Linked DNA regions of Macaca mulatta. The protein of the gene in region 1 interacts with the protein of each later gene in a biochemical or structural test. Links are inferred from orthologs where the notes say so. Each region holds a gene or a part of one and is shown on either strand. Other genes may lie near its edges. The genes, in order: GABARAPL1, STK3 and TBC1D2B.

Region 1 (4,390 bases):
TAGGGTAATGTAAGCCAGGAATTAAAAGGAAAAGGCAGAAAGAGGCTAGCACTGTGCCCCAAAGGAACTCTGAGACCTAGCAGTAAGAGAGAAAAACCACAAAGGAAGACAGAAAAAGAAAGTGATAAAGCAGACCGCAATACCTGGAGGGAAGGCAGGGGTTTGGAGAGGAAGAAAAGGGGGAGGGGTAATTATTAAAGGATTGGTTTCCCAGAACCAAGGTTAAATTTCCAGGAATCCCAACTCTACTCCTCACTATGGTAGACCCTGGGCTAGATGCTTTGCCTCTTTGGGTCTCAGTTTTCCTCATTTGTAAAATGTGACTAATACTCAATAGAGCTATGAATTTTTAAAATAGACAATCTGTTTCTAGCAGTCTTTTTGATATGTTGTGTCTTTGAAGATAATTTCAAGATCCCACCAACCCCTCCTCTCTGAAGGCACAAGCATACCTCTTCAACTGTTAGCTCTGAAGAAATATTGGTGGGACTAAACTCTGGTTATGCGAGCAGTCAGGATACACCACTGCTTGAATAACACCAATGGTCAAGCTGGAATGGGCTTTAGGAACCACTACTCTAACCCTCTTTTCTGTAAACAAGGCACTCTATCTAGCACAGCAAGATTAAAAGTTCTGCCCAAGGATGCAGTGAATTCCCAGAACTAGAACCAAATCAAGGAACCTGCGTCATAACTAGAAAGAAGGTCACAGACTGAGCACCTTGGGAGCAGCTCAGCGCTGGTTAAAACATAACCCTAGGGAAGCTGAAATCTGAGTGACAGTCTTAATGGCTTAAAAATTATCACAGGAGTAAAACATTTAACACCAAACTATGAGCATGAAAAGAACAGAATGCACTGAAATATTCAGAATACACATAAGTATTTATCTATTTCCAATACTTAACAGTGTGAAGTCCACAGCACGTCATTAATTCTGGTTAATAACAACTATATTAGAAACTGAGAAACAGTATGACACGGAGGTTAAGGTCTCCGAGAGCTCCACAGTCCGTCAGACAGGGTTAGAATTCCGGCTCAAACACAGATCAGCAATGTGAAACCTTTAGGAAGTTACCGCATTTCTTTGTGCTTTGAATACTCCGTCTGTAGAACGGGGATTATAATCGTGTAAAGATTAAGCGAATGATTACAGACTGAGTACTTATACTGCTACTGTAAACTATTAGTAAAATATGACTGTATTTTTTAAATATCATTGCTCTAAAGATTGGTATCACCAGAACTCGGCAAAATTTTCAGGTATCCAAGGTCCAGAAACCAGCAAAGTATTTTGTAAAGGATCCTTTACCGAGTAAGGGATTAGCTCACCCCTCTATAAACTGAAAACCCTTTGGTAATTCCTGAGGAATGGAAGAGCCCTAATGACTTTTTTTTTTTTTTTAAAGGAAAAGGGGTACAAGAGGTTTCTACTGCTGGGCTAAGGCCCTGCTGGCTTCTGGTAGCTATAAAACCACGAACGTTAGGTAAGGATTAGAGAAGAAACCCAGAGTGGCTGCGAATCAAGATAAGACATCAGATAACAGCAATTATTTTACCATGATGTGACATGTAATCCTGATGTTCCTACCTGAAGATAAAGAGCACAATTTTAAAAATCTCTGCTCCTCCATTTCCAAAATCCAACAGCTGCTGGTCCCTTTACCACTTAAAAGTCATACTCTGCCCTCCAATTCGGCTGCGCAGCCCACATTAGAGAAACACCAGGCAAGGGACGGGGGAGGGGGTAATGGGGAAAACGCCCGGATGCTGAAAGACACCTAATGTTTCTTCTCTGTTCCTACTCACTACCTGCGCTAGTTTTAACTACTTAAGCCGGTGTCCAAAACACAGAAAAAACGTCTCAGTCCTGCCTTATCGCGTGCAGGTGCCAGGTGATCAGAAATCAATACCGGGGGAGGCTGGCTGTCCCTACACATTTCCCGGAGCCTAGAACGATGAGGCAAGAGGGCTGTTGCGCAGAGAACGTGACCTTGTTTTTCAGGCCCGGACTGTCTTGTGCTCCCCTACCCCCCTGTCATGCAAGAAAAGAACCGAATAGCTTCTGAACCTTTTCCTCCCAAGCCCAATGATATGACAGCCAAAGTCAACTTCATTAAAGGAGAACCAGCCAAGGCAGAAATCGACCGGGTTTGCGCAAACCTCACCGCACAGCACAGTGTCCCCGCGTTCTTAAAGGGAGCCAATCCACGGCCCTGATCTAACCACTCTCGCACACAGGGGCGCTATTTTGCGCACCTCAACCCACACAGGGTCTCAGTATTGCTGAGACCGTGTGGGTTGCTGAGTCACTGAAGATGGCAGCTCGGCCCCAAAAACACCGTCAGCCCTGAAGTGGGGTTCAGGCCCCAGGCATATGTGGTTTTAAAAGCTCCGCAGTCTGGACGTCCATTGGCTCGGGCACTGAAGGGCGTTCAGGATTAACTAATTATCGGCACCTCCCTTCCCCAGAGTCGCCTGGGCGCCCCAGGGAAGCCATCTCGACTCCCAGCCCCCGCCCCCGCGGGCCCTTCCCCTCCCATCCCCCCGCTCCTCTACACTCACGGGGACCCTGTCCGGATATTTCTTCCGGATCTTTTCTCCTTCCTTTTTCCGATACTCAAAGGGATGGTCCTCCTTGTACTGGAACTTCATGATGCACCGCAGGGCTTCCGAGATTCCCCGCGCGGGGCCTGCCTCCTTCGCTGCTGGCCCTGTCCAGCTCCCTCCGCCGACGTCAAGGTGTGCTCAAATAGCTACAGAAACGTCCGCTCCCGGGGCAACAGCGCTGGGCCGAGCGTGCAGAGGGGGTTCGGTGTGGGGGGGATCTCGGGTGAGCCTGCCCGGAGATAGAGGAGAGCCAGGTGGAGAAACACCGGCGGCTTTTCGCTGGAGCTGGGAGCACAAAAACAGTTGGGTGGCGCGTCGGGCTGTGACGTCACCCTGCGCGCCCCGCCCCGCCCCCCAGGCGCCGAGGGCAGGGGGCGGCCGAGTGCTGTCTTAACTGCGTTTCCTTTCTGGCTAACGTTTTTCAAAATCGATGTCATTGCAAACATCAAAACATTCTAGTTGTGTTTTATTTTGTGACTGTGAAAGACGGTTTTAAGACAAAAACAATTTTAAACATGTTTTATTCCCCCTCCACTGTTTTTCTTGGTTTGGCCCCAAAACAAATACAAAAGGCGAAAATCCTTTTCCTGCTGGTTGGGATCCAGCCTCAGGGGAAAAGAGGCCCAGGCCTCCTGGGATCCCTTTGGCCAATGCAGAGCTGTCCCGTGCTTGCACCGTGCCCTCTGCGCTTTCCGCTGCCCCTCCCGCGGCCCTCCTCCCGCGCTGGCGTCACAGTGTTTGGGCCGCGCCGCAGTTCGCTCCTGAACAGCAACATAAACAGAGCGTGACTCAGGAATCTGAAGAGAGGAGTCAGATGAAGGACGCGGAGTGTAATCAAGGTCCAAAGGAGACGTGATGTCAGTCAGGACTACGGAGGGCTTCACGTACAATCAAATACAGAAATGATTCACTTTCTAGCCGGACGCGGTGGCTCATGCCTGTAATCCCAGCACTTTGGGAGGCCGAGGCAGGGGGATCACCTGAAGTTAGGAGTTCGAGACCAGCCTGACCAACATGGAGAAACCCCGTCTCTACTAAAAATACAAAATTAGCTGGGCGTGGTGGCCCATGCCTGTAATCCCAGCTACTCTGGAGGCTGAGGCAGGAGAATCGCTCTAACCCGGGAAGCGGAGGTTGCGGTGAGCCAAGATCGCGGCATCGCACTACAGCCTGGGCGACAAGAGCGAAACACCGTCTTAAAGAAAAAGAAAAGAAAGAAAGAAGTGATTCACTTTCTGCCATTAACTCAGAAAGGAGGCTTGTCTTCTGGAAAAGAGAGTATCAAGCAATTTAGGTGATGACCTCAATTCTTCCCCCACATCTTATTTAGTTCCAGTGGTTAGGTATCCCTCACGTGGCTGGAAAGCGCTGCCTGGAATGCCAGTGGAAGATTGGGCATTGCGGCAGGTGCGGCGAAGCCTCGTTCTCGCTTTCCCCACCTAGAGTCAAAGAATAAAGACCTTCCAACCAGTACGGTAGGCAGCGACACGGAGGACCGTGGAGATTGCAAAGAAAAAGAAGAGTGAAAACGGGCTGCGTTGCCCATACAAGCCGGGTGAGTTCTGAGAAATATTAGACAACAGCAGCCCCATGGCCTATCTTCTTCAGTCGGGGTCTCAGTGTCTCTAATTTTAAAAACACCCACAAGGGGACAGGCGCGGTGGCTCACGTCTGTTCTCCCAGCACCTTGGGAGGCCCCGGCCGAGGATCGCTTGAGTTAAGGAGTTCAAGACCAGCTTGGGTAACAGGGCAAAACCCTGTCTCTACAAAAAATACAAAA
Region 2 (2,670 bases), on another chromosome or scaffold:
CATACAAATGTTCATTCGGCGTAAAAATGAATTTCTTTTTAATGGTTTTAATCTTTTTTTTTTTAATTTTTTTTCAGTCCCCAAGGCTTGTACCACTCAGTACAAATGTTTTTGCTACTGGGTTATCATCAGGCACATGATGTTTACCAATTCCCAGGAAATGAATAAAATCAACAGAAACATCCTGTGACAATAGAGCACATTTTCATAGAAATGAAATTGATGAGCTTATTACAGTTTGAATCAGTTCAGCTATTAGATCTACACATAAAACATAAAACAATATTAACAAGTTACATTTGTATTAAGTTTTTTTTAAAAAATATTTATCATACTTTTTTGTGCAAGGATTCCACTGATTTCTTTGGTTTTAAACACGATAGATCTATTTTACCTAAATATATATAGTTCTATTTGTACCAAACATCAAAAATCAAAAAATTAAACAAAATTTCAAAGGGTAAAAATGGAATTATTGCTTCGATATAAAAAAGGCCTAGCCCATTTGAGAACTATTGCCATTATTACTTTCCTACTGGAAAACTATCCTGGAAATCAAGGAATGTACCCCATAGCTCCCTGCAGAAAGTATAATTTGGTTGCACATTATCATCATATTAATATGACCCTATCTTCACCAAAGCTATCCTGATCTTGTCCTTAAAAAACAAAACAAAGCAAAATAGCATAAATAAATAAGTTTACCTAAGGGGATACAATAAATAGACTAGTATACTAGATAGGAATAAAGAATATTGTAACATAAAGCCCTTCAGTGCTGCACAATTAAACAATAGCTTTGGATTTTCAAGGTCTCTAAACGCAGCCTCCGTTTCAAAACACAGTTTTATTGCTGGTATGCAGCTGACAGAACAAGAGAATACACTTCTTTTGTTCTCCTCATCTGAAAGTGAATGCACAGCAGATACAACTGTCAATTCTGCCTTTTGGGAATTTACCTGGGCATGTACCATTGTCAGTTTTTGACCTCTGACTAATTGTAGGGCAAAATCTTAGGATTAAAAATATACAAATATTCCTTCAATTCCTAGTGGTTTCTTGGTCTCCAGAATAGTTAAAAACAGACAGGAAATTAGACTCAAAAGTTTTGCTGCCTTCTTTTTTTTGCATCCATCGCATCCAGAATGGGCTGTCTTTTCGCAGTGTATCTCTGACGAAGTTCTTCTATCTCCCGTTCCATCATAGGGTCCAGTGCTTTTAATCGCATCTGTAGTTCTTCTAAACTTAGATTTTTCAACTAGATATGGAAACAAACAAAGATATCAATATAGTGAAATTATCCACAACACATTAATGTCTAATGAGTTTTAACATAAATATTTCAGCAAATTCTTTACATCATCTTCGAAGTATGGTTCAACAATTAAAACAGGAATTTCTTCCTTGAAGAACCCAGAGGTCATATCTTGCAAGAACCTCAAGTAATCTGCAATGAAACAATCGGATCATCTGCCTTTAGTAAAGGGCAAATGAGAAAAATATGCTGATAGAATTTGTAAAAAGGTACAAAGACAAATCCACCCCCGCCAACAAACAGATTTTCAGAATACGTTCCAGGTATATTCACTCTAACTTCTTACATCTTTGCCAGCTACCGAGTGCTACAATAATAATGAACACTTGCAGAGATCACCCAAGAACATGACAAGACTGAATAAAGGTTAAATTAACCATTCTATCCTCCATTTTACCAAATGCTTAATAAAGAAGATGACTGTGGTAGGGGGTGGGAAGTAAGGCTGAATAGGCCTGGTGGGGCCCCAAAAGTAGGAAGCCATGATCAATTCTGGAGTAGGACAGTTATGTAAGAGTAATCCAGATTTTGTTTCTCCTTCTCCTTCTTCTTCTTTTTTATTTTTTTGAGACAAGATCCCACTATGTTGCCCAGGCTAGCCTCAAGCTTCTGGGCTCAAGAGATCCTCCTCCTTCGACCTCCTCAGTAGCTGGGATGTGCCACTGCACCCAGCTAAGGCTTGGTTTTAAAATGATAAAACTTGCAACTTACTTTTTGTTTTAAAAAGATAACTGTCTTTGGTTATTTTATGAGTCAAGGAAGAAAAATACTCATTACTTATAGTCATCCAAAGTAGCATGTCCCAGCAGATCCTTTTACTCGCCATCCCTGGCCCTATCGTGACTTCTGCTTCCAAAAACCAAATTCACTCTTAGCTGAAAAAGACTCTGAGGATACTGAAAAGAATGAGTCACAGACTCTTTGAAGGAAATTCAAAAAAGGAGTTCCAAAAATATTTTGAGAAATGACAGTATATGGAGAAGAGTATGCAGGCTTCCATGATGATGACTTTGAAGGTGAATGCCACTCACTTCAGTACATAAGAAGTTCTGGTATGTATATTAATAATCAGCCCTGTTACTTTGTAGTCATATGTCATGAAAGAACCTAGCTTTTAATATTATGCTATAAAAGATACATTTATATATAATATGTATTATTATACACTTTCTTCATTGACTTTTAATCCAAGTAGTGATCATGCATCTGTTACATGCTCAGTGCTGTTCAAATTGCTGCGGGGATACAGAATAAGACAAACAGGGAAACTCCAAACTTTGAACTGTACACATCAGTAATGGCCATACTGAAAGGCCAATGTATACCACACAACCACATTTCCCAAGAAAGACACA
Region 3 (3,653 bases), on another chromosome or scaffold:
TAACTGGAGCACTTGTTAATGTTTTGCCAATATTATTTCATTTTACCTCCCGACTCCCCAGTTTTTTTTCTGGAATATTTTAAAGCAAATGCCGGACATCACGTCATTCCACCTGTAAACATTTCAGTATGTATTTCTGACTGGATACATACTAATCCCAGATACATATCATTTTGAAACTTATTTCCTTCAACATTATTTTCTGAAATTATCCAGGTTGATACAAGTTAACTCCTGAGCTTTTTTTTTTTTTTTTTTTTAAGAGATGGGGTCTCACTCTGTTGCTCTGGCTGGCCTGGACCTCCTGGGCTCAAGCAGTTCTCCTACATCAGCCTCCCAGACAGCTGGGACTACAGACGCACACGACTGAGCATATTTACCTTCTTTGTAGAACATCATTGTATGAATCTACCATGGTGTCTTTATTCCTTCCCCTCATGGAGGACATTTAGATCTTTCCATTTTTCCTTGTTACAGTGATGCAAGGACCATCATGGTCCATATTCCCATGTGCCCACGTGAGAGAGTTTCTCTAGGGTGCAGACTGGAAGTGGAATTCCTGGTGTGTAGAAAATACATACCTTTAACTCTGCTAGATCTGATTTTCAAAGTGCTTGAGTAAGTTTACGCTCAGCAGCAGTGTGTGAAAGGCCTTTGTAGTAGTTTTCTTTTACTGGTACAACAAATTATAAACATTGTGGCTTAAAACAACACAACACAAATTTGTCACTTAATAGTTCTGAAGGTCAGTAGCCCAATATGGGTCTCATTGGATTAAAATCCAGATTTAATTGAGGGCTGCATTTTTTCTGAAGGTTCTGGGATAGTTAATTTCCTTGTTCATTTAAGTTGTTGGTGGAATATAGTTCCTTGCAGTCAGTTGTAGGACTAGGTCGCTGTTTTCTTGCTGGTTGTCAGCTGTGGTTGGTGGCTTCTAGAGCCCCCTGCGTTCTTTGGCCCGGGGCCCCTTTTCCCATCTTCGGGGCGACAGCAGCAGGTCCAGCGCCTCTCACGCCTCCCATCTCTCCTGCCTGACGTTTCTCTGACTGATTCTTCCACTTTGAAGGGCTCATGAGGATATTTGGGCCCATCCAGATGTCCCAGATAATCTCCTTGTTTTAAATTCTGCATTAACATTCCATTAACAACATTCCTATTGCCATGTAACGTAAAACAGCCACAGGTTCCAGGAACTGGGACGTGAACATCTTTATCCCTAATAGCTTATAAATACATTCTTCTTTTTTTTATCTTTTAAAATGATATTTTTAAGCATAAAGTTATACATATGTAGTACATATATGATAAAGAAACATACACACGCATTAATGTAGCCAGATTTATCAGTCTTGTTTTTGTGCTGTTGCCTGCGTTTTCTTCCATGCTTTTCATATTTTCAGTGTTAAACTGTTTGGAATTGGTTTTTTCCCTATGTAGTATCAAGTAGAGATCTAATTTAATTTTTCCATATAGATAGTCATTCTAGCTTTATATACTGAGAAGTCGATTATATCCTCACTGATCTGAAATGCTTCTCATAGTTCAAAGTACCACGTGTGCATAATTTGGTTTCTAGACTCTCTTTTTCTGTTGCGTTGGTCTTTGTTGCTAAAACTTTGTCATTTTAACTTTTCCTTTTGTTTTTATCAACAGTGAATATGATATTTATGGGTTCAGGACTGTACCTGAGGATGACGAGGAAGAGAAGTTGGTCGCCAAGGTCCGCGCGTTGGATCTGAAGACTCTCTACCTCACAGAAAACCAGGAAGTCTCCACTGGGGTCAAGTGGGAAAACTATTTTGCCAGTACAGTCAACAGGGAGATGATGTGCTCTCCAGAATTAAAAAACCTTATCCGTGCGGGCATTCCCCATGAGCACCGTTCCAAGGTATGGAAGTGGTGTGTGGACCGTCACACCAGGAAGTTCAAGGACAGCACAGAGCCTGGCCACTTCCAGACATTGCTGCAGAAGGCGCTGGAGAAACAGAACCCGGCCTCCAAGCAGATTGAGCTGGACTTGCTGCGAACTCTGCCCAACAACAAACATTACTCCTGCCCCACCTCAGAAGGCATACAGAAGCTACGCAACGTCCTCCTCGCCTTCTCCTGGCGGAATCCAGACATCGGCTACTGCCAAGGCCTAAACAGGTGGGGGCACAGCACAAAATGTTCCCATTTGCCATTAGGCAACTTGTAGGCACCGGTACTGCCTGGCAGCTCCCTCCCTTCCTGGTTGGCCAAGAAAAGTCAATATTTTAGAAGAAAAAAGTAGTTGCAGCAAGCCAGTTATCATGACACAGTGTCCCCAGTTCTAGAAGAACTGAGAGAAACAAACATGCTTTCAGAAAGTATTAAGAACACAAGAGTTTAATTCATTTGAAACTACTGGAGTCTCATTTTTTCCTAGTCTCATCACACTTGGGTTTTGATCAGAAGTTTGATTTTATTAGTTTGTAATGCATGGAGTGGAAATTGATGGCCACCCCTTGTTTATGCAGTATACAGGATCTTTTTGTGAATCAAGAAGTCGCCCCAGACAATTATTCAGCTGATTGAAACTTAGCCCTTCATGGACTTAAACTTGTTTCCTTTTAAACTAGAACCTTTAACAGGTCTTGCATACTTCCCTACTTCCATAGGCAGAGGACGCTGAAAAGCCTCTCACATTTTCTTGGTGATCCAGGCTCATCCTCCTGAGCTGTGTAGGGATGGGACAAGACCTCAGGAGGACTGAGGTTTGCTCCCCACGAAGCTCTTCCTGTCACTGGACTTTGCACTGACTGCTTCTTAATGGCTTGTGCACTTTCTGCTTACTGCTGTCCTGGCAGTTGTCCATTTATATTTCTGTGTTATGAAAGTAGGTAATCAAGTTTGTAAAAAAAAAAGGATAAAGGTCCAGTGCAGTGGCTCACACCTGTAATCCCAACACTTTGGGAGGCCAAGGTGGAAGGATTGCTTGAGTCCAGGAGTTTGAAACCAGCCTGGGCAACATGGCGAAACCCCATCCCTACAAAAAATACAAAAAAAATTAGCTGGGTGCGGTGGGTCACACCTGTAATCCCGGCACTTTGGGAGGTCGAGGCAGGCAGATCACCTGACGTCAGGAGTTCAGGACCAGCCTGGCCAACATGGTGAGACCCTGTCTCTACTAAAAATACAAAACTTAGCCAGACAATGGCACATGCCTGTAATCCCACCTACTTGGGAGCCTGAGGTAGGAGATTTGCTTGAACCTGGGAGGCAGATGTTGCAGTGAGCCAAGATCGTGCCACTGCACTCTAGCCTGAACAACAGAGGGAGACTCCGTCAAAAAAAAAAAAAAAAATTAGCTGGGCATGGTGGCATGCGCCTCTAATCCCAGCTACTTGGAAGGTTGAGGTGGGAGGATCGCTTGAGCCCAGGAGGTTGAGGCTGTAGTGAGCTGTGATCATACCACTATACTCCAGCCTGGGCAACAGAGTGAGACCCTGTCTCAAAAAAAAAAAAAGATACGGATAAAGTAAGAATGGAAAAGCTCTGCCTGTGTACCTTAGGAATTCTGTAAGCCGTGCATGAGCTGGAGTTCTGAGTACTGACATTTGTTCTGGCTGCTCACAGGCCTTTTTGCTTCTGCTCCATGCCAGGTATTGACCTCCAGGTACGGGTTTTCTGTT

What was found.
Region 2: the proteins of GABARAPL1 (region 1) and STK3 form a complex in vitro, tested with the Homo sapiens proteins (2 studies listed by BioGRID and IntAct). The link is inferred for Macaca mulatta from reciprocal best matches to the Homo sapiens genes GABARAPL1 and STK3.
Region 3: the proteins of GABARAPL1 (region 1) and TBC1D2B form a complex in vitro, tested with the Homo sapiens proteins (2 studies listed by BioGRID and IntAct). The link is inferred for Macaca mulatta from reciprocal best matches to the Homo sapiens genes GABARAPL1 and TBC1D2B.

The regions. Positions count from the first base shown.
Region 1 is NC_133416.1:10,339,699-10,344,088, forward strand, and holds the start of GABARAPL1 (gamma-aminobutyric acid receptor-associated protein-like 1), read right to left. Parts: upstream 2,850-4,390; 5' UTR 2,656-2,849; coding exon 2,566-2,655; intron 1-2,565. UniProt on the Homo sapiens protein: Ubiquitin-like modifier that increases cell-surface expression of kappa-type opioid receptor through facilitating anterograde intracellular trafficking of the receptor. Involved in formation of autophagosomal vacuoles.
Region 2 is NC_133413.1:108,839,429-108,842,098, forward strand, and holds the end of STK3 (serine/threonine-protein kinase 3), read right to left. Parts: intron 1,259-2,670; coding exon 1,100-1,258; 3' UTR 622-1,099; downstream 1-621. UniProt on the Homo sapiens protein: Stress-activated, pro-apoptotic kinase which, following caspase-cleavage, enters the nucleus and induces chromatin condensation followed by internucleosomal DNA fragmentation.
Region 3 is NC_133412.1:56,156,995-56,160,647, reverse strand, and holds part of TBC1D2B (TBC1 domain family member 2B), read left to right. Parts: intron 1-1,653; coding exon 1,654-2,148; intron 2,149-3,653. UniProt on the Homo sapiens protein: GTPase-activating protein that plays a role in the early steps of endocytosis.